3 linked regions of the Oreochromis niloticus genome follow. The main gene of each other region encodes a partner of the protein of the gene in region 3 in a complex. Links are inferred from orthologs where the notes say so. Each region holds a gene or a part of one and is shown on either strand. Other genes may lie near its edges.

The links. The genes of interacting proteins can lie anywhere in the genome.
Region 1: crnkl1 (region 3) and rnf113a share a complex: the UniProt entries of both Homo sapiens proteins name them as parts of the minor spliceosome. The link is inferred for Oreochromis niloticus from reciprocal best matches to the Homo sapiens genes CRNKL1 and RNF113A.
Region 2: crnkl1 (region 3) and snrpg share a complex: the UniProt entries of both Homo sapiens proteins name them as parts of the minor spliceosome. The link is inferred for Oreochromis niloticus from reciprocal best matches to the Homo sapiens genes CRNKL1 and SNRPG.

What each region holds. Positions count from the first base shown.
Region 1 is NC_031969.2:28,812,692-28,819,535, reverse strand, and holds the start of rnf113a (E3 ubiquitin-protein ligase RNF113A), read right to left. Parts: upstream 3,013-6,844; 5' UTR 2,961-3,012; coding exon 2,855-2,960; intron 2,441-2,854; coding exon 2,361-2,440; intron 1-2,360. Other genes in the region: rundc3aa (RUN domain-containing protein 3A), read left to right, coding at 4,077-4,183. UniProt on the Homo sapiens protein: Required for pre-mRNA splicing as component of the spliceosome. As a component of the minor spliceosome, involved in the splicing of U12-type introns in pre-mRNAs. E3 ubiquitin-protein ligase that catalyzes the transfer of ubiquitin onto target proteins.
Region 2 is NC_031984.2:33,153,298-33,160,382, reverse strand, and holds the start of snrpg (small nuclear ribonucleoprotein G), read right to left. Parts: upstream 3,013-7,085; 5' UTR 2,885-3,012; coding exon 2,853-2,884; intron 2,671-2,852; coding exon 2,648-2,670; intron 1,997-2,647; coding exon 1,872-1,996; intron 155-1,871; coding exon 104-154; 3' UTR 1-103. UniProt on the Homo sapiens protein: Plays a role in pre-mRNA splicing as a core component of the spliceosomal U1, U2, U4 and U5 small nuclear ribonucleoproteins (snRNPs), the building blocks of the spliceosome.
Region 3 is NC_031980.2:23,432,516-23,439,682, reverse strand, and holds the start of crnkl1 (crooked neck-like protein 1), read right to left. Parts: upstream 3,015-7,167; 5' UTR 2,871-3,014; coding exon 2,823-2,870; intron 1,602-2,822; coding exon 1,449-1,601; intron 1,164-1,448; coding exon 1,072-1,163; intron 860-1,071; coding exon 701-859; intron 332-700; coding exon 165-331; intron 1-164. Other genes in the region: cfap61 (cilia- and flagella-associated protein 61), read left to right, coding at 3,461-3,603, 4,828-4,978, 5,141-5,217, 5,401-5,468, 5,556-5,676. UniProt on the Homo sapiens protein: Involved in pre-mRNA splicing process. As a component of the minor spliceosome, involved in the splicing of U12-type introns in pre-mRNAs.

The sequences.
Region 1 (6,844 bases), on a different chromosome or scaffold from region 3:
AAATGGTGGACACCAGAGGTGAAGGGAGCCACCAGGCTGAAGAAGGAGTCCTATCAGGCTTGGTTAGCCTGTGGGACTCCGGAGGCAGCCGACAGGTATCGATAGGCCAAGCGGAATGCGGCTCGGGCAGTGGCTGAAGCAAAAACTCGGGTGTGGGAGGAGTTCGGAGAGGCCATGGAAAAAGACTTTCGGACTGCCTCGAAGAGATTCTGGCAAACCGTCAGGCGTCTCAGGAGGGGAAAGCGGTGCTCTACCTGCACTGTGTATAGTGCTGGCGGAGCGCTGCTGACATCGACTGAGAAAATTGTCAGGCGGTGGAAGGAATACTTCGAGGACCTCCTTAATCCCACTGACATGTCTTCCGAGGAGGAAGCAGAGTCTGGGGATGAGGGGAATGACCCGCCAATTTCCGGGGGCGAGGTCACTGAGGCAGTTAAACAACTCCTTGGTGGCAGAGCCCCTGGTGTTGATGAGGTCCGCCCCGAGTTCCTGAAGGCTCTGGACGTTGTAGGGCTGTCCTGGTTGACACGCCTCTACAATGTTGCGTGGAGATCAGGGGCAGTACCCCTGGATTGGCAGACCGGGGTGGTGGTCCCCATCTTTAAGAAGGGAGACCGGAGGGTGTGTTCCAACTACAGGGGGATCACACTCCTCAGCCTCCCTGGGAAAGTCTATGCCAGGGTGCTGGAAAGGAGAGTTCGTCCGCTAGTCGAACCTCGGATACAGGAGGAACAATGCGGTTTTCGTCCTGGTCGCGGAACACTGGACCAGCTCTTTATCCTCTCAAGGATACTTGAGGGTGCATGGGAGTTTGCCCAACCAGTCTACATGTGTTTTGTGGACTTGGAGAAGGCATTCGACCGTGTCCCTCGGGGTGTCCTGTGGGAGGTGTTGCGGGAGTATGGGGTGTCTGGCCCATTGCTACGGGCCATTCGATCCCTATACAACCGTTGCAAGAGTTTGGTTCGCATTGCCGGCAATAAGTCGGACTCGTTCCCGGTGGGTGATGGGCTCCGCCAGGGCTGCCCTTTGTCACCGGTTCTGTTCATAATTTTTATGGACAGGATTTCTAGGCGCAGCCAAGTGGCGGAGGGCTTTCGCTTCGGTGGCCTCAGAATCTCATCTCTGCTTTTTGCGGATGATGTGGTTCTGTTGGCTTCATCAGGTGAAGGCCTTCAGCTCGCACTGGAACGGTTCGCCGCCGAGTGTGAAGCAGCGGGAATGAGGATCAGCACCTCCAAATCTGAGGCCATGGTTCTCAGCCGGAAAAGGGTGGAGTGCCCACTCCGGGTCGGGGATGAGTTCCTGCCCCAAGTGGAGGAGTTCAAGTATCTCGGGGTCTTGTTCGCGAGTGATGGGAGAAGGGAGCCGGAGATCGACAGACGGATTGGTGCTGCGGCTGCAGTGATGCGGACGCTGCACCGGTCCATCGTGGTGAAGAGGGAGCTGAGTGTAAAAGCGAAGCTCTCAATTTACCGGTCGATCTACGTCCCTACCCTCACCTATGGCCACGAGCTGTGGGTAGTGACCGAAAGAACGAGATCGCGGATACAAGCGGCAGAAATGAGCTTCCTCCGAAGGGTGGCTGGCCTCTCCCTTAGAGATAGGGTGAGAAGTTCGGCCATCCGGGAGGGGCTCAGAGTAGAGCTGCTGCTCCTCCACATCGAAAGGAGCCAGTTGAGGTGGTTCGGGCATCTGATAGGGATGCCTTCTGGGGGGCCTCCTGGGTGAGGTGTTCCGGGCATGTCCCACCGGGAGGAGGCCCCGGGGCAGACCCAGGACACGCTGGAGAGATTATATCTCTCGGCTGGCCTGGGAACGCCTTGGTGTTCCCCCGGATAAGCTGGAGGAGGTGGCTGGGGAGAGGGAGGTCTGGACTTCTCTGCTTAGGCTGCTGCCCCCGCGACCCGGCCTCGGATAAAGCGGATGAAGATGGATGGATGGATGGATGGACAAAAACAGTCACCTCTGTCTCATTTGAGGCTACTGTCATAGCAGTCTTGTCTGCAAATGTGTGTTTGCATGATTAGATTTATAAACTTTTTCAAAAATATCAGGTTTGCAAGTGTATAAAACCCTTTGTCCATATTCTAAATGTAAAAAAAAAAAAAAAAAATCTATATATGCATTAACATAACACACTTTTAAATACTTTAGTACTCTTGTGAATCTAAATGCAGATTTAGACTTTTGCAAATCTGACTATGCCAGCTGATTCTGGATACATACTTGCCATTTCCAGTGCACGTTGAGGTACACAGTGATTAAGACAGAAAAACGCAATTTTCGACAAACACATGTTAAAAAATATAAATATACAAAAATTTAAAAAATTTAAAAAAACAACAACCCATAATTACCCTCTGAATCATCGGGTTGATGCGAGTTTTTTTCTTTTCTTTTCTCACTACGAGGGTCTGGTCCTCATCACTGTTTTCATCTGAAAAGGACATGAGTGAGATACATTTGGTGAAAAAAAATCTAGTAACTTGTCTAATAACTGACAGCAGAATTGCAAAATCTTAGAATAATCTCGGAGTTAACTGGGAGGACAAGAAACAGCAGGCGCATATAGCGTTCCAAATTCCGAGGAAACGTAAACGCGGCACGAATGTGAAATTTGTTTATAACAGGAACAAAAATGTATCATCTGCGGTACTTCCTTTACATCGTTTCTCCGATTTTTGGAATCAGATGTAGTATTTTTGCCTCTTACCGTGTTAATAACACAGTGGTTATCTGTAAAGGACTACGAGAACAGAAACAAGTAGTCGATCATTAAAAAGCTCGAGCGCTGTCGACACCGGAAGTTCACTGGGCTTTAAATGATCAGAAAGTGAGTTAAATAACAAACCTTTCTCGCTATCGGTTGCTTTTCTCTTTCGCCCAGAGAATTTCCTATTAGATTTTTTAAACAGAAAAGTACAAGATCCCTCCCGAGGCTTCTCTGATTCCGCCATCTTGACTCTGTTTTGTAAATATCTGCTTTCGCCACAGCACCCTCTAGTGTCTAGGAGTCATCTTAAGTTAGTCCCTGTACTGGTCAAAAGGAGAATCACACCTACTTAGGCATTGTGAAGTTAGATTTAAAAAGGCAGCAGTGATACTTCAGTGAGAAAGTGGCTGCAATTTTTGCGAGCCAGTTAATCAAAAGTTGCTCAATGATATTTACTTATTTCATATTTAAAAATAATTCATGAGAATTTAAGTTATGTCTTGGAAATCGTTATAACTCTATGAAGTGCTGTAAAGTTTTTAGAGCTGTGCCAAAACACATTCGTCTGCCAAAAGGGGAATTTAGATACTTGTCAAAAAGTTTTAATTATTTAAACTGTTTTAAATGACTTGTTGGTCTATAATCTATCAAACATATTGCAAAAGTATCTGACCAGACACAAGGTAGAAGCTGCAGGCAGTAATTGGCTAAGTTACTCTTAGATAGTGACTTCCTTTATTTTTCCAGGTAAAAAGTCTAATTGATATTAAAAAGTCTAATTGGTGTTAAAAAATATCTTTTTATAAACATGTTTGGTCAAAGAGGGCTTTAGAAATTCAGACAAATGTAAAAGAACGGTTCTACAAAAGATATTTTAAGCAGCAAAAAAGGACTGGATTGATTATAATGCAGGACACAGAGTAGCTACAATAACGCTGAGTCGAGATACTTGCAAAAAAGGTAATTTCTTTATTTCATATTTAGCCCTTTGAAAATTCTGTTGACCCCAGCCTATCTACCAATGTAAGCCAAGATATAACACATACAAACACATAAAAACATCAGCAATCACTTTTTTTTTGCCTGACACCGGAAGACTGGAAATTCTAGTATGAATGAATCTGTGATGAAAACTGGAAGATAGTTTTATTTTGAAAGTTTTAACCGGAAGTTGCAGTGATAAATACGTGTAACTTGGTTCTAGTCGCTTAGATCCCGTCCTCCTCCTCTTCCAGCAGCGACTGTAGCAGCATCCGTGACTCCCCGCAGAGGACGGCGGGTGTTTGTAGGACTCAGGGCCCACGGAGGGAGAGGTCCTGGCCTGGGCACGAATCCCGAAGAGGCCCGGGGCCGCCGCTGGATGGAGTCGGGCTGTATTCAGACAGCAATGGCTATGGGTCTGACATCGAAAAAGGCGTCTGCTCGGAGCGTCTGCGTGGAGCGAAAAAACCTCATCACGGTCTGCAGGTATACATCACGACACCATCGACGTGCCGTATTTATCAGAAGGAGCCTGTCCTTGCAAGCTGTTCGGGTTATATTTTCACCAGTATGATCATGATCAAGGTTTGTTTTTTTTCCATCCAAGAAGCCCACCCCTGCGCTCATTCCCAAAGTGAAACAATGGCAGCAATATAAATGGAAAATATTACAGAAAAAAGGGCCACATTTCTAGAAAGGCGAGGGTTAAGGAGGGGGCAGGTGCGTGTTCACCTTCACGTACCTTCTGTCATCACACCCAGTTTGATAGAGACAGTAGACTTAAAGAAACCACTCAATTATCCAGTGTTTGTTTTTAAATGCTCGTTTACTGCTTGCGGGGCTTCTTTTTCTTTCTTTTTTTGCTATGATGTAAATCTATTAATTCTGTCTGTCGTTTAAAAGTACAGTCCCCTGCGTGTTTGTTTCTATAGCAGGAAATGCAGCTTCAAGTGATTCAAGTGATGAGTGTTGCAAAATCAATTGCAGAATAGGGATGAAGGGAAGATAAGCCAGTCAGCAGCAGGTCTCCTCCTCCATCATGGTGAGCTTCAGTGCCTGAATTGGACAAGGGCATTTGGGGCAGTGCAAGGACTCCTCCCCACATCAGGGGCCCTCCATCCTTCTCCATCCACCATCCACGCACTACAGAGATGGCCTCTGACTGATTGGCTCTAATAAATCACTGTCTTCTGCAGTGAGGTTAGCACTGTAAATGTGTGAGCTGACAGCTCACACAACGAGAGCTCTTCAGCTGCACAGTAAGTCCAGTTTTATACAATAATGTAACACCCTCCTGGTTCCAGTCTGCACATTATTACATCACGTGTGATATTTAGAGCTTTAACAGCTTCCATCCTTTTTGACCAGAGGCTCTAATTTGCATGCTTCCACATGAGACCAATGTTTATATTCATATAGAAACAATAAATATAGAAAGACTATTAAAAATAGCCCAGAAATCTTTTTTTTCTTTTCTCTTTTCTCAGCACTTCATGACCTCCTTGCATTAATTTTGTAACCTTTCAAATTAGGCATCCCTGATGTAAAAGGGACTCTGCTCATTTCACTGAAGGCTAATTAACTTTTCGACCGTGTTATCACAAGTTCTCAGAGGCCTAGGTGCTTTTTTCTCAAACGTCTTTTGCACAAATAATCATCACATCCCAAAGATAGAAAACCTAATACTGTATACATCTAGAAAAATGCCACAAATATCCACATCTCAGGTGGTTTTTTTGCCTTAAAATAACTTGAACTACCCATTTTGTAAAAAATGCTGCTGATTATTTTCCTTTGTCTGACATAACTAGGTTATAGTGACCTTATCCTACTTTAGAGTATTTGATAATTATGTGATATCCACAGACTGGCAGGAAAATGCTGCTTTGATCATGTTGTTGTGTTCTCATAAAATTTATTATAGTACTACTCCTCATCTTGAATTGCAAATTGACTATAATCATAAAAAGCGTTCACAAAAGTGGCATCCAGCGTCTAAGCTCTGCTGTATTTCTTGTAATTTATTGCACCGTAGTGCTAGAAACCACCAATCAAAACAGAAAGGGACTCCAACATGGATTCACAGTCAAGCATTTTTATTCCAGTACCTTTATATCCAAGGTCCTGCCTGCGTTTTAGTGGCATGTACAGTGAGGCAAAAACACACAACATCACAGAGAGCATGCCTGCAAAGAAAGAAAACTTCTCACAGTGGACACAGACAAGGATTAGCAGGGACACAAAAACACCTTTGTTTTCAGTTTCTCCTGGCTGTGCTAAGACAGATTTAATCATTTAAGCGTTTTAAAGACAAACAAACTGGACAAGACAGAAATAAATCTCAAACAGCTTTCCACCAGTAATGCTGACTACAACAACTTTTCTCCATTTTCTAATGAACAACATGACATTGATTAGGTTCACTTCGAGGGCAGTTTCTTCTTGGCGTGTCCGAGTTGCTGCCCGATCTCCCCGCTCATGGTGTTTTGGATCTTTACATGTTGTTCAGGTCAGAGCTGATTCACAGGCTGCTCGCTGATCGGATAATGAGGAGAGAGCCTGAATCAGCACCGTCCCTCTGGCTGTGCATTAGTGCAGGCAGGGCATCGTGTTGCACGATCCGGGATCCAGGCTCTGTCGCGGTTGTTGAGATGCAGCCATTCCCACAGCTGAGTTTGTGACATTAGTGCTTGATTAGTTCACCAGGCCAAGCTATTATTTACCCTAAGTGTGTTTGTGTGCATTTACTGCATATATAAAGTCTGCCCTCTTTTTTTTTTCTTACTGCAACATCATACATGTTTAACATACAGTCAGCACACGCAGAGATTAACATTTCTACTCCCAACAATTCCTTTAATGTGTTGGCATCAAAGTCCCGGTTAAAAGTGTGTACAGTTGATCTGGTATGATGTGGGTCACGAGTACCAGCCACAGAAATCTGACTGATCTTTGCTCGGTGTTTCAGTGTCATACCTAACAGACCAATCCTATTTTAATGAGACGTGCTGTATCTACAGAGAAAAGAATGGACAAAAAAAGAATAACAACAGAGAAAAATAATAAGAGATGGCTATTCTAAATAGTAAGTAAGAAGAATGCTCCTTCTTTTTAGGTTAGGGGGACTTTTGAATTGCCAGACATCCC
Region 2 (7,085 bases), on a different chromosome or scaffold from region 3:
GCTTTGTCTCTTTACTGAGGAACAAGAAAGGGACAATAATGTAAAAAAACAAAACAAAAAAACAAAATGTAGGGATCATTTTCTTCAGGTGCCTCCTCCACTCTCATACTCTCTCCAAGGCCTCGAGCATGATGATGCTGTTTCCCCTGATGACCTGTGAGAAACAATACCACACAGAGTAAACACACTGCCATCATGACAAATGTCCTAAAGGTTTTAAATAAAGCACTGAGCTCTCCAAATCTAAACAGAATTTAGTATCTTGTTTATAGAAGGTAAAGCAAACCGCTTTTCTTGACATTTTAAACCTAAATTATACTGAACAGCTGAGCACTCATTCCTGTTGTTTGTAGTTCATGGGCTGGGGAGAATGTTTACTTAGTGCATTATAAAGTAAGTAAACATTACAAAAAGCAGGCAGGCACAAACTGCCCTAACCATCTCATGATGAAATTTATATCAGTGGGACCTGAGTGGACCCTACTGGACTCGGTGACGGTATAATTCCTGCTTCAAACACAGAATGATTTTGAAATAAATGAAAATGATTTCGTGGAGCAAACAGCAGCAGATGCAGGTATAACTAATAAATAATGTATGGTCTGTGTACACAATTCCACAAGTGTGCTATCGTGCAGTCCACCAAACAGCCCCAACAGCATGTCACTGGATGTTGATGACACATGTGTCGGTCAATAGCTCATTGGTTGACAAGTGGGCCAGAACAGGGGAGGGCGCGATTGTGGAGTTCAGCGGGAAATGGTATGACACAAATATGAAAGGGAAAAAAATACAGCATGAAAAGTACAGAGTGTGACTGCAGTGGACACTTTTCGTTGTTTTTGAAAACACTGTTCACTTCAACTTGAGAACAATTGAGAACTTTATACTTGGAACAACAACAGCACATGCAAGTGTGGCCCACACACAGGTTGTAATACATATTTGTTACACTCCATCAACAACAAACACTCTCTGCAGGCAGACTGTGATTGCCCAGGAACTGCGTTCATGCTACTACTGCTCAAGTATAAAACAAGCATAACAATCTGACGCTGTTCAGGTCATGGTTAATGTTACAAAGGACGAAATACTAATAGCACATGATATGCAACCAAAATGTACAGAAATGACTCCACCAATTCTCTTTGCAAATGGTGGATGGAAATTACTAACATGATGGAAAAGCAGAGCTTTAATCAGGCACAAAATATTTATTTTATTTTGTGACGATTGTGCAGATTTCTTTTTTTGCTTTTTTTTTTTTTTTTGCTGAAACAGAGTGTGACAAAAATGCAAAGGTTTCATGTGCAAAATATAAATTTTATTAATATAAATGGCCTGTATTTGTATAGCGCTTTACTTAGTCCCTATGGACCCCAAAGCGCTTTACACTACATTCAGTCATCCACCCATTCACACACTGGTGATGGCAAGCTACATTGTAGCCACAGCTGCCCTGGGGCGCACTGACAGAGGCGAGGCTGCTGGACACTGGCGCCACCAGGCCCTCTGACCACCACCAGTAGGCAACGGGTGAAGTGTCTTGCCCAAGGACACAATGACCGAGACTGCCGGAGCCGGGGCTCGAACCGGCAACCTTCCGATTACAAGACGAACTGCCAACTCTTGAGCTATGATCGCCCCCTACCAGGAAAGATTGGGCTGTTAATGAGAGCTCTTTACTGTGTGTTTAGACTGTGGCAAATATGAAGTCTGACACCATCATAACCAGAACTCTCTGGTAAATATACGGGCTGTAGTTGAGAGGAGAGCAGACTGCTGGAAGATAAAAATTGCTGTGCTTATATTAGGCGCACAAATTTTCTTTGGTGACAATACCAAAAATTAAGAAAGACAAATTTACTGACCACCATGCCAATGGTGTTCTGCTGTCCTCCAGGGCCCATCTCCAGACAGTCATCCACCACCAGGTTCATAAAAGGGTCGAACCCACGCAGGATGCCCTGTACGTGTCTGCCTCCATTCAACTTTACTGAAAGGAGAGAAAAGAAATCAATATGAAGAATTTCACAAACTGCTCAGTTTATTTATTTTTGGGACTGATCCATCTTCAAACTCAAAGTTTAGATTGCCCACATACTACCACGAATATTTACATACAGCAAAGTAAGACATCCATATATTTATGCTATCACATAACCTAACTTTTGAGTCCACATCTGTGAAAGGTACTTGACTTACCCAGTGTTGTAACCGAGGGTTACAACAAGCTTAATTTCAAACTTTTAAAGACCATAAAGACATCTCACAATTATAGTATACTGTCAATGAAAGTCAGTAGGGATGATAAGACCTGTGCAAGTTATACAATATATCAACATCTGCATTTCTAGCAGTACTTCCCAGCAACACAACACGCTGCGCGTATTAAAATAAATGTCCCCCCATGTGTGCTGCCTGCACTACATGTCTACCCTTTGTTATGAGATCCTGTACAAACAGTGAGCAGAGGTCATCGAAGAAGGCTTTGTGTACCAGGTGAAAACTGAAAGGTAATTACTGAAATTATTCAATAACTATGTTTTGATATTTCATGCTGTTGCTTAAAAACAACGAAACACAGGAACAGATTCACTCTTAACATTCTGGGTGCTTTTGAATCTGTGCTTGGAGTCATACTCACATGAAAGCTTCTTGTCCATGAACCTGGAAAAGAAAACCATCAGCATCGGTTACATGGTCACAGTTTCTTCACAAGTCGGTCTGGCAGCCTAGCTAATGTTAGCTTGTGGCTATTACAAACAATGTACCAGAGCTGCTATGCGGGAAACAAGAAACAGGTACAAAATAACCAGTGCGCGTTTATTTATCAAAGATCACTGACTTACTTCTTCAGCTCGGGTGGGTGTGCTTTGCTCATTTTATCTGTATTTTCTGAAAGTCGAAGAACTCGTTCGCACTCTTTTCGTTTCACGAAACCGCGGAAGGAAAGCGTGCGCCGACAACCGGAACTTCATTGGTGAACTCTCATACTGGACCTTCTGCTTTTTCCTCACAGCGCCGCCATGAGAACAGGAGGAAGGAGAGCCGGCTAGCTTTGAATTATATATATTAGTGGAAGAAATATTCAAATCATTTATTTAAATGCAAATATGTTGTGTATTCAGAGATGCTGTTCTGCATACCTTGGTTGTAACAAGTGGTAATTTGAGTTACTGTTACAGTCTGGCCTGATGAAGCACGACAACAAAGCATTTTCACCCAGAGAATTTTTTTTTTTCACTTACTGGATGTTTTCTCTTTTTTAGACCATTCTTTGTAAAACCTCGTTTATGGGTGGGTGAGGAAAATCCAGTGGATGAGCAGTTGTTTTGGTTTTTTTGCTATAAGACCAGGGGACCGTTCTTCGTACCTCGCTAAGTAAGTTAGCCGGATTTGATTGTTGACGATTTCGCGTGATCTTGGATCGTTCGGTTCTCCGAAGCTCATCTGGGACTTGCTGTCATAGCAACAGATCCGTAAGCGTAAACCTGCTCGGGAGCAGGTTTACTTTATGTAAACAGGATTAGATCGCGGCCACTCAGGTATGTCCGCTGCATGTACACGAAAGCAACAGCGATATTTCACCACTGTTTCTCCATAAATAAATATTATCAATGTAACTAAAGATAATGCAGTAGTTGATTCTTTTACTGATTGCATACAGATACATACAGGTCATTTCCTAAGAAAAAGGGAAATGTACTAGTAATCATTCTATTACACGTATTTGATTATTTCAGATGTAATTCGTATTTTAGAGTAGTAATAGTAAATTACTTCGTGTAATCAAGATGAGAGACCACGGCTATAAAAGCGAAGGTGGATTTGGGAAGTCTGTCGCAGCCATGTCCTGTCTGTTTGTACGCGAGCAACCCATTGCGGAAGGTGCAAGATTGATAAGGAGAGTTTCCAGAATTCAGCGTATATTGCGGGATTGACAGGATCCGTCCTGTCCTTCCTCTCTCTCTCTCTCTCTCTCTCCCTATATACATATGTATACATATATGTATACATATATGTATATGTATATGTATATATATATATATATATATATATATATATGTATACATATGTATACATATATGTGTATATATATATATATATATATATATATGTGTATATATATATATACACACACACACACACACACACACACACACACACACGAGGGGGTGCAGGACCACCACCTGTCTTTATTTGCTCTGCCCTTTTCTTGGTTGCTGTTATAAACAAACAAACAGATTATTTCAGGGTCTCTTTTCAAGAGACTAAAAGCAATATAAGTGATAACTATTACCATTCTGTAGAATATTCTTATATTTCACTTTTACTTGTCCCCATGTTCTAGTGGGTCCTGTTGTGGCTCTAATGTGAAAGAGGATATAATGTAATATGATATAATAAATTATTTACGAGTTTAATTTGTCAGCAACTTTCTGCCAGCCCTCTCTCCTTGCTTTTGCAGCCTTTGCGGTGTTCCCTTGCGTTTTAATTAAACTCTGAAACTCCTGATATCCCTCAATCAAGAGTTCTTGCTCTGCTGCCGTAAAATACTGAGCGCGCGCCTTCGACATCTTCGCCGACCAATCAAAGGGTTGCCGATCAATGTTTCTACTATCGATGCGTAGCCCCTTTTGAGACACCCAGTGATCTCGCATTACTTCATCCAGCTATACTGATCGTCAACAACAGGTGTGTTCGGAGAACCGGATTAGCGAGCTCAAGGTTAGCGCGATGATTTGATCTTGGATGTGTCATTTGATCTTGGATGTAGTAAGCGAGGTACGAAGAACGGGCCCCAGGTGGGCCCAATGAGAACTATTATTTGTTGACAAACACAATGGGATATCCACTATCCATACCAAAGATCTAACTATGTGTTTGGCTATTATTTGAGGTTCAGCTGCTGGTGTAGTTTTTGTTTGAAAAAAACTACACCAGCTTTGTGTGAAAAAGTTTTTGTAACTTTAAAATTAATAGTTAGTTATGCCAATAATTAATATGAATTCATTGTCAAAGCTAACAACCGAATAAACAGTATATTTACTGCACATTTAATAATTTGAGGAAAATCATATTAGTGTAATTTATTGTTTTAATAATGAATCCAGTGTACATTATTGCATTTTATAACACTATTTTATTGTTCCTGCTTTAAGAGAAATGTGTAAGATTCATGGCCATTAGTTGTTACACTGTTGACTATGTTCAGAATACAAATGGAAGAGCTTTTAGCTGCGACCTGCAACTTCAATAATAATTTATATTATCTGAACCTAGAAACTAGCTAAAAGTCATTAAAAATAAATGTACATACATTTCCTCTTGCTAATTTCAACAGTTACCCATTAACTCTGCTGTATAGCTGCGGTAGAGCACGCAGTCAGTTTGAAACTGCGGTTTAGCTGCTCTGGAACAAACTTCTCAGATCCACAGTATGAAAAACTTCAATTAAATCACTAAAATTTCACAGAATCAGAACAGCAGCAGTGATGCAAAGAAAACATCTGACAACTGTTAAATTTTATTTGTCATCTGCAAAGAGCCATACACACCAATTTACAAAAGACCTCAGCAAAGTAGAAACTTCGAAACCTAGAAACATATCTTCTACATGTTCACAGTCGCATTTTGAAAACAGTAGTTGAAAATACTTTAGAAAAACAAAACAAAAAATTCATGTTGATTTAAGTTCATTCACCAAAGCGCACTTATTGAGCATCGCAGACACACTGAAGGGCTGCCGTCAGTCCATCTGTTTGCATAGTTAGAAAATACGACCCGAGCTCATGCAAGCTAAAAAGCAGGGCCATTATGAAAGGCATTGTTTTGGGTAAAGTTATCCATGAAAGCCAAGTTTGCTCACTGTATAGTTTACTGCAATCTTTCTTCCATGATAAAAATATTGGGAAACAGCATGTAAACAAACAATGTTACACACTACAATCTCATGCAGACCCTGGGACTGCATTTTATCTCTCGAGCAAAGAAATAAACTTCCACCCAGTGCTCTAAGTAGTGCTGCTAACACTCAGGTTTGACACACAAGACTGACAACACGACAAAATCAGACACCACAATCGATGAATAATTATTGCCAAATTTGTAAGAAAATACAGCAGAAAACATAACAAAAACTAGACAAGTAGCAAACAATTTGTCAGGCAGTGTTCTGGCCAGAATGTACCACAGTTGAGCAGACGGCCTAATTTCTCAAAAGAACAAAAAAAAACAAAAAAACAAAACAAACCCTGAGGCAAAGATAAGCTTAGCCCCACTTTGAGCATGCGAGCTAATCCCAACGTGTTTTTGGAAAATGGGGTTGATTTGAAATGAACAGCCCAAACTCTAAGCACTGCGAAGGTTATCCAAGGTCCAGGAACCTTTACACAGCTGATCTTCACCGTAGTAACAGCCATTTTCAGCTGCTCCCTTCTCACAAGGGATCGCCACAGTGGGTGACTCCACATGTTTGACTGGCAGAGTTTTATGCTCTTTTTATGGCCTCCCTAACACAACCCCAAAGGGGTTTTGTGTATCTGGCTGGAATTAAACCAGCCCAGTTGTTGCCAAGTGGTGAGACTATCTTCCAGGATCATAAGCTACCATTCTTAATTAAAAAAAAAAAAAGCAGACAATTTGTGGAATTTACCTAGTCTTTACAAGTTTTTATATCACAGAGTTGTATAAAAGTGGATACACAGACAACCACTGGTCTGAAAGAGGGATTCCTGGGTATAAAGGTTTGAATACTTTGAGTGGATCAAATGAATCATAATCAAACTGTTCTGGCTTCTATAGTTTTCAATGTATTAGAGTGAAAATTTGCAGACAACAACAGTCCTTCACAGTAAAAATGTTAGCTTTATGTTCAATTTCATATCATCAATATTGCCGTAATAAAGCCGAGGCTCATCTTAAAGGCTGCTGCTAAACACATATTCTGTGTATTTCTTCTTTGTTGCATTTCACTACAATGAAACTTATTAATGCATAGCTGCTCTGCAAGACGCATCTGAGAAGATGTCCTGTTCTCAGATGTACAAACACTGATTAAACCTCCCTTTAAAGGCTGATGT
Region 3 (7,167 bases):
AAACAGCCCTGACAATAATGAACTCAAGCTCTGTGGGACGACTCAGACCATCACCCTGATCGTGCTTTTTGTTTCTTTATTTTAAAGTTTTATTATATTGTTTGAATTTAACTGTGGGGAAACACATAGTTCCCTGCATGTTAGTAAAAGCAACAAAAGGATATATCGCTCATAAATGGTGCGGGCTTTCTCCACCTCCTTGTAGCGCAGCTCAAAGTTGATGTAAGAGTGCCAGGCCTGCTCTTCAGGCTCCCATTCCATCCATCGCTCAAAGACCTGCCTGCAGCCGGCGATGTTTCCCAGCATCTCCTCCATGTAGGTGTACTTGTACCTGTGCAAAGGAACAGCATTCAAAATATTACACACTTAATGAAGAAACACAGAAGATTTAAGAAAAACAGACAACAAATGCACAGCAAAGACTCTCCATAAGAACTGTACAATCACAAGCAGACTCACACTCACACACGATGCACTTTTCAAAGTTTAAAACACATCATTTACATCAGGTTACATTTCAGCTACTCTATTGTTAGATAAGTGTCAATAAAGTATCAGCCAACAAATACATTTATTCAATTTTTAACTACAGAAAAGGACTGAAAATTGTGACTTGTGCCACTTGCCAAAGCCTGCTGATATTTTACAGACAAAACAATCAAGAAATAAATATGGCGATTAAATGATTTTTAAGTCCTACCAGAACTGGTTGACTCGTGGGAGGATGGTGATGGCTCTGTCCCAGATGTTGCGGGCGTGGTTCACCTGGCGGCTTTTCATCTCCATCTCGGCGTACTTTAGCCACAGAGTGATGTTGCGATGATCGACATCTAGCGCCCGCTCGTAAATGGAACGAGCTCTGAAACGAGGGTAACCGTTGGTGAGGTAAAAGTGGACAGTGCAGACACATGGGCATGAGAAAAAATTCTAAAACATTTACTAAAATGTTAAAAGATGTGAAGACCGATTCTACTTATTTCAGTACAACCAAGACTAAGTTGTTTGTGATTGACCCCGTGCGAAGTTGTAGCCATTTAATATTCTGACTTTCAGCTGTTTTTGCTTCAGTACCTCTGGATCTCCTTCAGACTTTCCTCCCATTGTGCGTATTTAATCCAGTTACTGATGACAGTCCGGTTCTTCCTGATGTTGTCCTCAAAGCTCTGAAAGAAAAAGACATTCATCATGTCCAAAAACTATAAAAACATATTTTTGTGTGCTGGAAACATCTCAAATTTTCCTGTTAGATTAAAACTACAAACACATTTGTTTAACTAAACATAACTATTAGAGCAGAAGTAAAGCCAGAGAGCATCACACCTCAAATATATTTTATGCTGGCTTTTTAAACATAAATAAAGTGGGGGAAAAAATTCTTGCAAAAATGGCAGTATGAGTAAGAGCAATGTGAACACTACCAGGAGAGAAAATATGATGGAAGTGCTTACCTTCCTCTTCCTCAGTTTGTAGTCATTGAGCTCCTCCTGATCGGTGATCTTCTGTTTCGGTGGTGGTGGCAGGAGTTCGAGCTCTCTCTCTTTGGCTTCCCTTAGCAGCTGCTCTGCAGTAATCTGAACCTCTGCCGGAGCTTTATTCTTCACCTAAAACACAGCACAAAATACAATTAGCGTGAGCACAAAATTAGTCTTTCCTCTCTTCCCCTCAACTGGTCACAGCAGACAGCCTCTCCCTGAACCTGCTTCCTGTTAAAATAGAGTTCTTCCTCCCCAGAGACACCAAGTTCTCCTGATTGTTGGAGTTTTTAATCGCTTATGTTACCTTACAATATAAAGCACCTTGAGGTGACTGATCATCATCTTATTCTTCTTTTGATTCCCCCCTTTAGGAGTCACCAAAATTTATCCCCACTTCACCCTATGCCAGCATCATCCTCTGTCATACCAACCCTCTGTATGTCCTTCTTCACTGCATCCATCAATCTTTTGAGGTCTTTCTCTTTTCCTCCTGCTTGCCAGGTCCACCTTCAACATCCTTTGACCAGTATATCCATTAGCCCTCCTCTGCACATGTTGGAACCATCTCTGCCTCTAACTTTGTCTCCAAAGCAACTGGTGAGAGCTGTCCCTGACCTTCAGCTCGGCCTCCTGTAAGTTTCAGTCTCCAAACCATGCATCACTGCAGGTCTCACTACCATCTTGTAAGCTTTCTCAGTTGCCTCTATCATGTCAGAAATCACCCCTGACATTCGTCTCCACCTGCTTGCACTCTCTTCTTTACCACTCTCGCACACTGTCCGTTGCTTTGGATGGTTCACTTCGGATACTTAAACTCATCCACCATCAATTCCTCTACTCCTTTCAGCTTCACTGGTACACCCGCCTCCCTCTCATTTACACACATGTATTCTGTCTTGCTTCCATATACCTCCAGAAGCTCCCTACTCTCAATACAGATCACATTGTCGCCTGTAAACACAATCACAGTCCACTCCTCCTTCACATACTATTACTATAATAGTCATTTTTAAACACACTTCTAACTTTAAAGACACAAAGAAACTCAAATGTACCAGATTTTAAATCCTAATATAAACAAGACTAAATTAAGGACACGTAAAACACATGGAAGCCAAAACAAAGCAGAGCGTGGTGAAAGTTTACAGCTAATGTAACTTGTGTGAAACTCAGACCACAGAGCTACCTGTTCATCAGGTAAAATAGCCCTAAATGTACTACAGTGTAGCACGTTTTTGTGAGTAACTTTGGCAGTGAAAAGATGAGATTAGATTTTAATTTTGCTCCGTTAGCCCGAGTTCTATGTTAGCATTAGCCTGGAGCGCTGATACTGCTCTGTTCACTTACCTTCGCCACCTTCGGTATCCGCTGTTTGCCTGCTGCCGTAGACGCCATTTTGATGGCCGGTTTAACCAACAAACAACGTTAAAAACCTCACTTAAACTGTCACGACAACTACCAAACGGCGCAAACAGGCAGCGAAACGTTTCCGTCTCACCGAGCGCCAGCCACCGTGACAGTAACCACAATGCCCCGCGTCTTCTTCTTCTTTTTCTTTTTCTTCAAAACGCAGACGTGTTGCTGCCATCTACCGTTTGTTCGCCAATGCCATTTGAATAATTTATATATACGTTGTCCGATATAGAGAATATATTCACTATAACAGACTTCAGTTGAGTCCATTTGTCCAGTCTGAGGAAGTTTTGATGAAGACTAAAAACTCGTTTCTAGACTGATTTTAGTGCTTTAAACAGTTGCTTCATGACTTCCGGTTAAACCGCGGGAGTTCTGGCGTCACGTTACTATGGCAACTGGGTTTGAGCTCTTCATAGGTGAAAACAGTGAGCTGAATTCAGTTAAATAAATTTATATTAAATTTCACCTTCTTCTATCCACCAGCCTGATATTACAGTTTATTACAAAAAGGCAGTCTTTCGTCTGCTGTAGTTTTATTAGTACTATTTGTCCATATAATACGGGTGACGATGCGGACTGTAACCTCAGACAGCGCCCGGGAGGTAACGGTGACCGTGAGGAGAAGCGAGTCCGCGGACGCTGAAGAGATCGACGGCCTCATTAGTCCCTCTGCGCAGGCGGTGTTTGGAAGAGTCAATGTTATTCATCTGCTGTGAGAAAAGTTTTTCTTCTTAAACATCTCAGCGGCAGAGTTTAGACCGTAAACTAGATGCTCTCTGAACACAAACACACCTACAAGCTGGATAAGTTGTTTTAATCACTGTTAGATAATTTGTTTGAATTATGTAGTCTCTAAAACGTCAAAAATAATTATAAACTTCCATGAAAACGCAAGAATTCTATCATCTCTTTAATATATAGCTATGCTATAATATTACTTTTGTTCTCCACCGACTGTATGGTGGTTTATTCTTGTCTTAAGTGTAATGGTTATATTGTTTTCACAGTATCTATTCTTGTTTATTTGCTCACATCAGTTTTCATGCTGAGAACTGTAGGAGAATTATAGTGTTGGAGGGGATGGGAGTTAGCTCTCGAAAATCTCTCTGAGAATGATTGCAGTCAGTCAAAGTCAGACTACAACTGTTTGCAGGAAGGTTGCCTCCCATCAGGCGACCTGTGCAATCGCCTGGTGATCAAAAGTGATTGTAAGAGCTCCAGGCAATCATTTGTGAAAAAAATTCAATCATAAGACAGCCATCTAGTTTTGTTTTGTTTTTTTCCTTTGGAGGGTGTGTGTGTGTGTGTGTTTTGTAGATGGTTTGTTTGTTTGTTATGTTTTGTAGATCATATGCTTTGTGATGAGGAATTAGCTTGCTGTGAATTAGGAGGTAACTTTGTGTTAGATTTTGTTTCTATTTTTATTACGCAGTTGAAATGTAACATTATGAGAGAATGGTGGTGTGTGGGCTTACGCCTGTTGTTCATAGTATTCAAAGAATATTTTAATTTATTTAATAAAATATCAATATTTGGTTCCCTCTATCAAAACAATATTGCCACAGAAAATTTAGCAATAAGATAGTATGCTGATTTTTTCCCCACCTCTAGTTCTAAGGGCAGTGTGGTCTCTGTTATGGGGGCTTATACATCCCCAAAACACCTCAACTAGGAGGGATTCACATGCTTTAACCACCTTAACTGGTGCTCTTCTCTCAGCTCTCCCACTTCCACCTGACGGTCATAGCAACTGCTTCAAACTGCTTCTTTCAGTTTTCCTTTGGAGGATCTAAGAGGACCAAGTTGCCTCTGAAAACGTGTGGTGGATGCAACTCTCATCACAATTATGTGGTGATTGATGTAGACGTCTGTGCTCTCAGTTAATTTCAAACACTTACAGAGACCATCACTGAGCTTTCTTGTCATGTTCATTCAGAGAGAAAGCTAACCTGGCTGTGACTCTGACCAATGAAAAGGGCGACATCCTAGGCCACGCTTCCTTCTTTGATCACCCTATTGGAGATCTGGTGGATCAGACGCAGTGGGAAGCTTTCCTGCAGGAACACTTCAGTGCTGGACAATGCACAGTCTGTACCTTTCATTTACTGATTTTAACATAAGGTTTTCGTTAAGTAGAGGCAATTAACATCACCTGGAATGAATGTGGCCAAGTGCCCATACTCTGCTTAGATGAAATGAAATGAAGTGAGCTCACACCTGCAGTGGATTAAACTGTTGTCTTTCTGCAGCCTCTCAACACACTTTTCCTCCACCTTTTTGTGGCACGGACGGATTTCACCACAGCAAGTGTGAAAGAGATAATGAGGTATGAACAAACAAAGACCCCTTTTTTAAAAATTCTTGTATCATTCGATAAGATTCATATATCAGTGCAAGGTAGATACTACAATGCACTTTGATTAGAAGCAAGCACAGTATGCAGGTGTCCTGAAAGGTGAATGCAGTATGTGTAAAATTATCATTTTTCTTGATGCGCTTTGTTTCGCAGGTCCATCTTTAACGCCATTCCTGAGCTTGAATACGTCTGTCTGCTCAGCCCACACGTTGGTGGTTTAGGTGATTTAGATTTAGCAAGTTAAAGTCTATAATTCACTTAAGCATTAATTTCCAAGAGACTCAGACAGATGTTTTTTGTGCTTGCAGAGCCGGCACTGGATGAAATATTTGAGCCGTTGGAGCGTCTGACCGACCCCGGGCCTCAGTGCTTGGCATTGATCTGCCACAGAAAAGCTCACTGTCCCCGGCCTCATGTGCGCGCAGCCAGGTGATTTCTACTGATTCCTCCCCAGGCTACTAAACAGTAGAGTGAATAAAAGAGTGTAGATGGATGTACTATAAATAAACATTTATTCACATCAATTTTGATGTAAGATGTGACGAAGAACTCATAAGAACTAAGATTCTATGAGCACAACAGTTTATTTCATGATTGAAATTACAATAGGCTATTAAATAATGCATAAGAGTTATGCCACAGAAGATGCAAGGACCAAGGATGTTTTTAGTGGTGTTAAACGTAGAACTGCCAGAGAAAACAGAGAAAATGCAAAACCCAGAAAGAAGGAACTCCAGGAGAACAGTGGAGGCAGCTCGTTACCTTTTCCAGTCACAAGGGGAAATGAAATAGCTTTCCTGATCCCCTAATTCTTGCCTTTGATAAGGATTTTTCTAAACCTGTCATAAAGTGCTTCTAACAAGGAAACAACTTTATAAGTTGATAAAGCTGATATACCTTTAGAGCACTTTGACATATTAGCAAGCTGTGATGGAAAATTCAACAGTAATTACAATGAATTTAGTTTTGAAAAATGTGCATATGAGAATTGTGACTGTTCTGATGGTGCATCACTTTGAACTGAGGGATGGTATTATCTCCATTTTTCATAAACTATCCTCTACTGAAGGACGTAATAAAGGAAGCCCTGAAGCATGTTTAATTTTTCATGGCTGTGGTTAAGCAGGGCTTATACAAGGTTGTGGGCATGGACACGGGCAAACACAGCAGAGTATTCCTTCTTGTTACACTTCCTTGAAGTCTGCCTGAAGGGCACTTGCGTAGTTTGTATATTGTAAAGGCACCTGGATGTTTGCCCAGAGGCTCACACTCACTGTCTGACGATGAAATTTACATCAGACACCAGTGGACTCACTGATGCAATATGTGAACATATATATATATATATATATATATATATATATATATATATATATATATATATATATATATATATATATATATATATTGGGAACCTCCCTGAGCAAAAGCGATCATTCGACAGCACACCTGGTAAAGTTAAAGCTGAATTTCTTTTCTTTTTGGCCACCAGGTGGCAGAAGAACTTTCTCTCAGTAGTAGGAAGCTACAGAGGGCAGCTCCACATGTTTTTTTGGTAGACTTTTTGCACCAGATACCCTTCCTGAGACATCCTAAAGGGATCTGGGGCTGTAGGTCTTTTGCCTGTCAGTTGAATGTGTAAACCACTACACTACATAGCTGCACTGAAATGTTAGCAATGAACTGCTTTATCAAACTTCCACAAGATATTACCTTCTTATTTGTGTCTACCTGATGAATTGTACCTTTTACAATCTTACATGATATTTTACGGTTGTTTTTTCCCTGTGTTGTGTTATCTTTATCTGTTTTCTGTGTCGTTTTGAAAAATGTACATATGTGAATGCATGAGTAATCAGGTCTGCCTACAGGTGCAAATGAATAACGTGAACTCAAAGCTAAATCTAAATGTAAAATCTC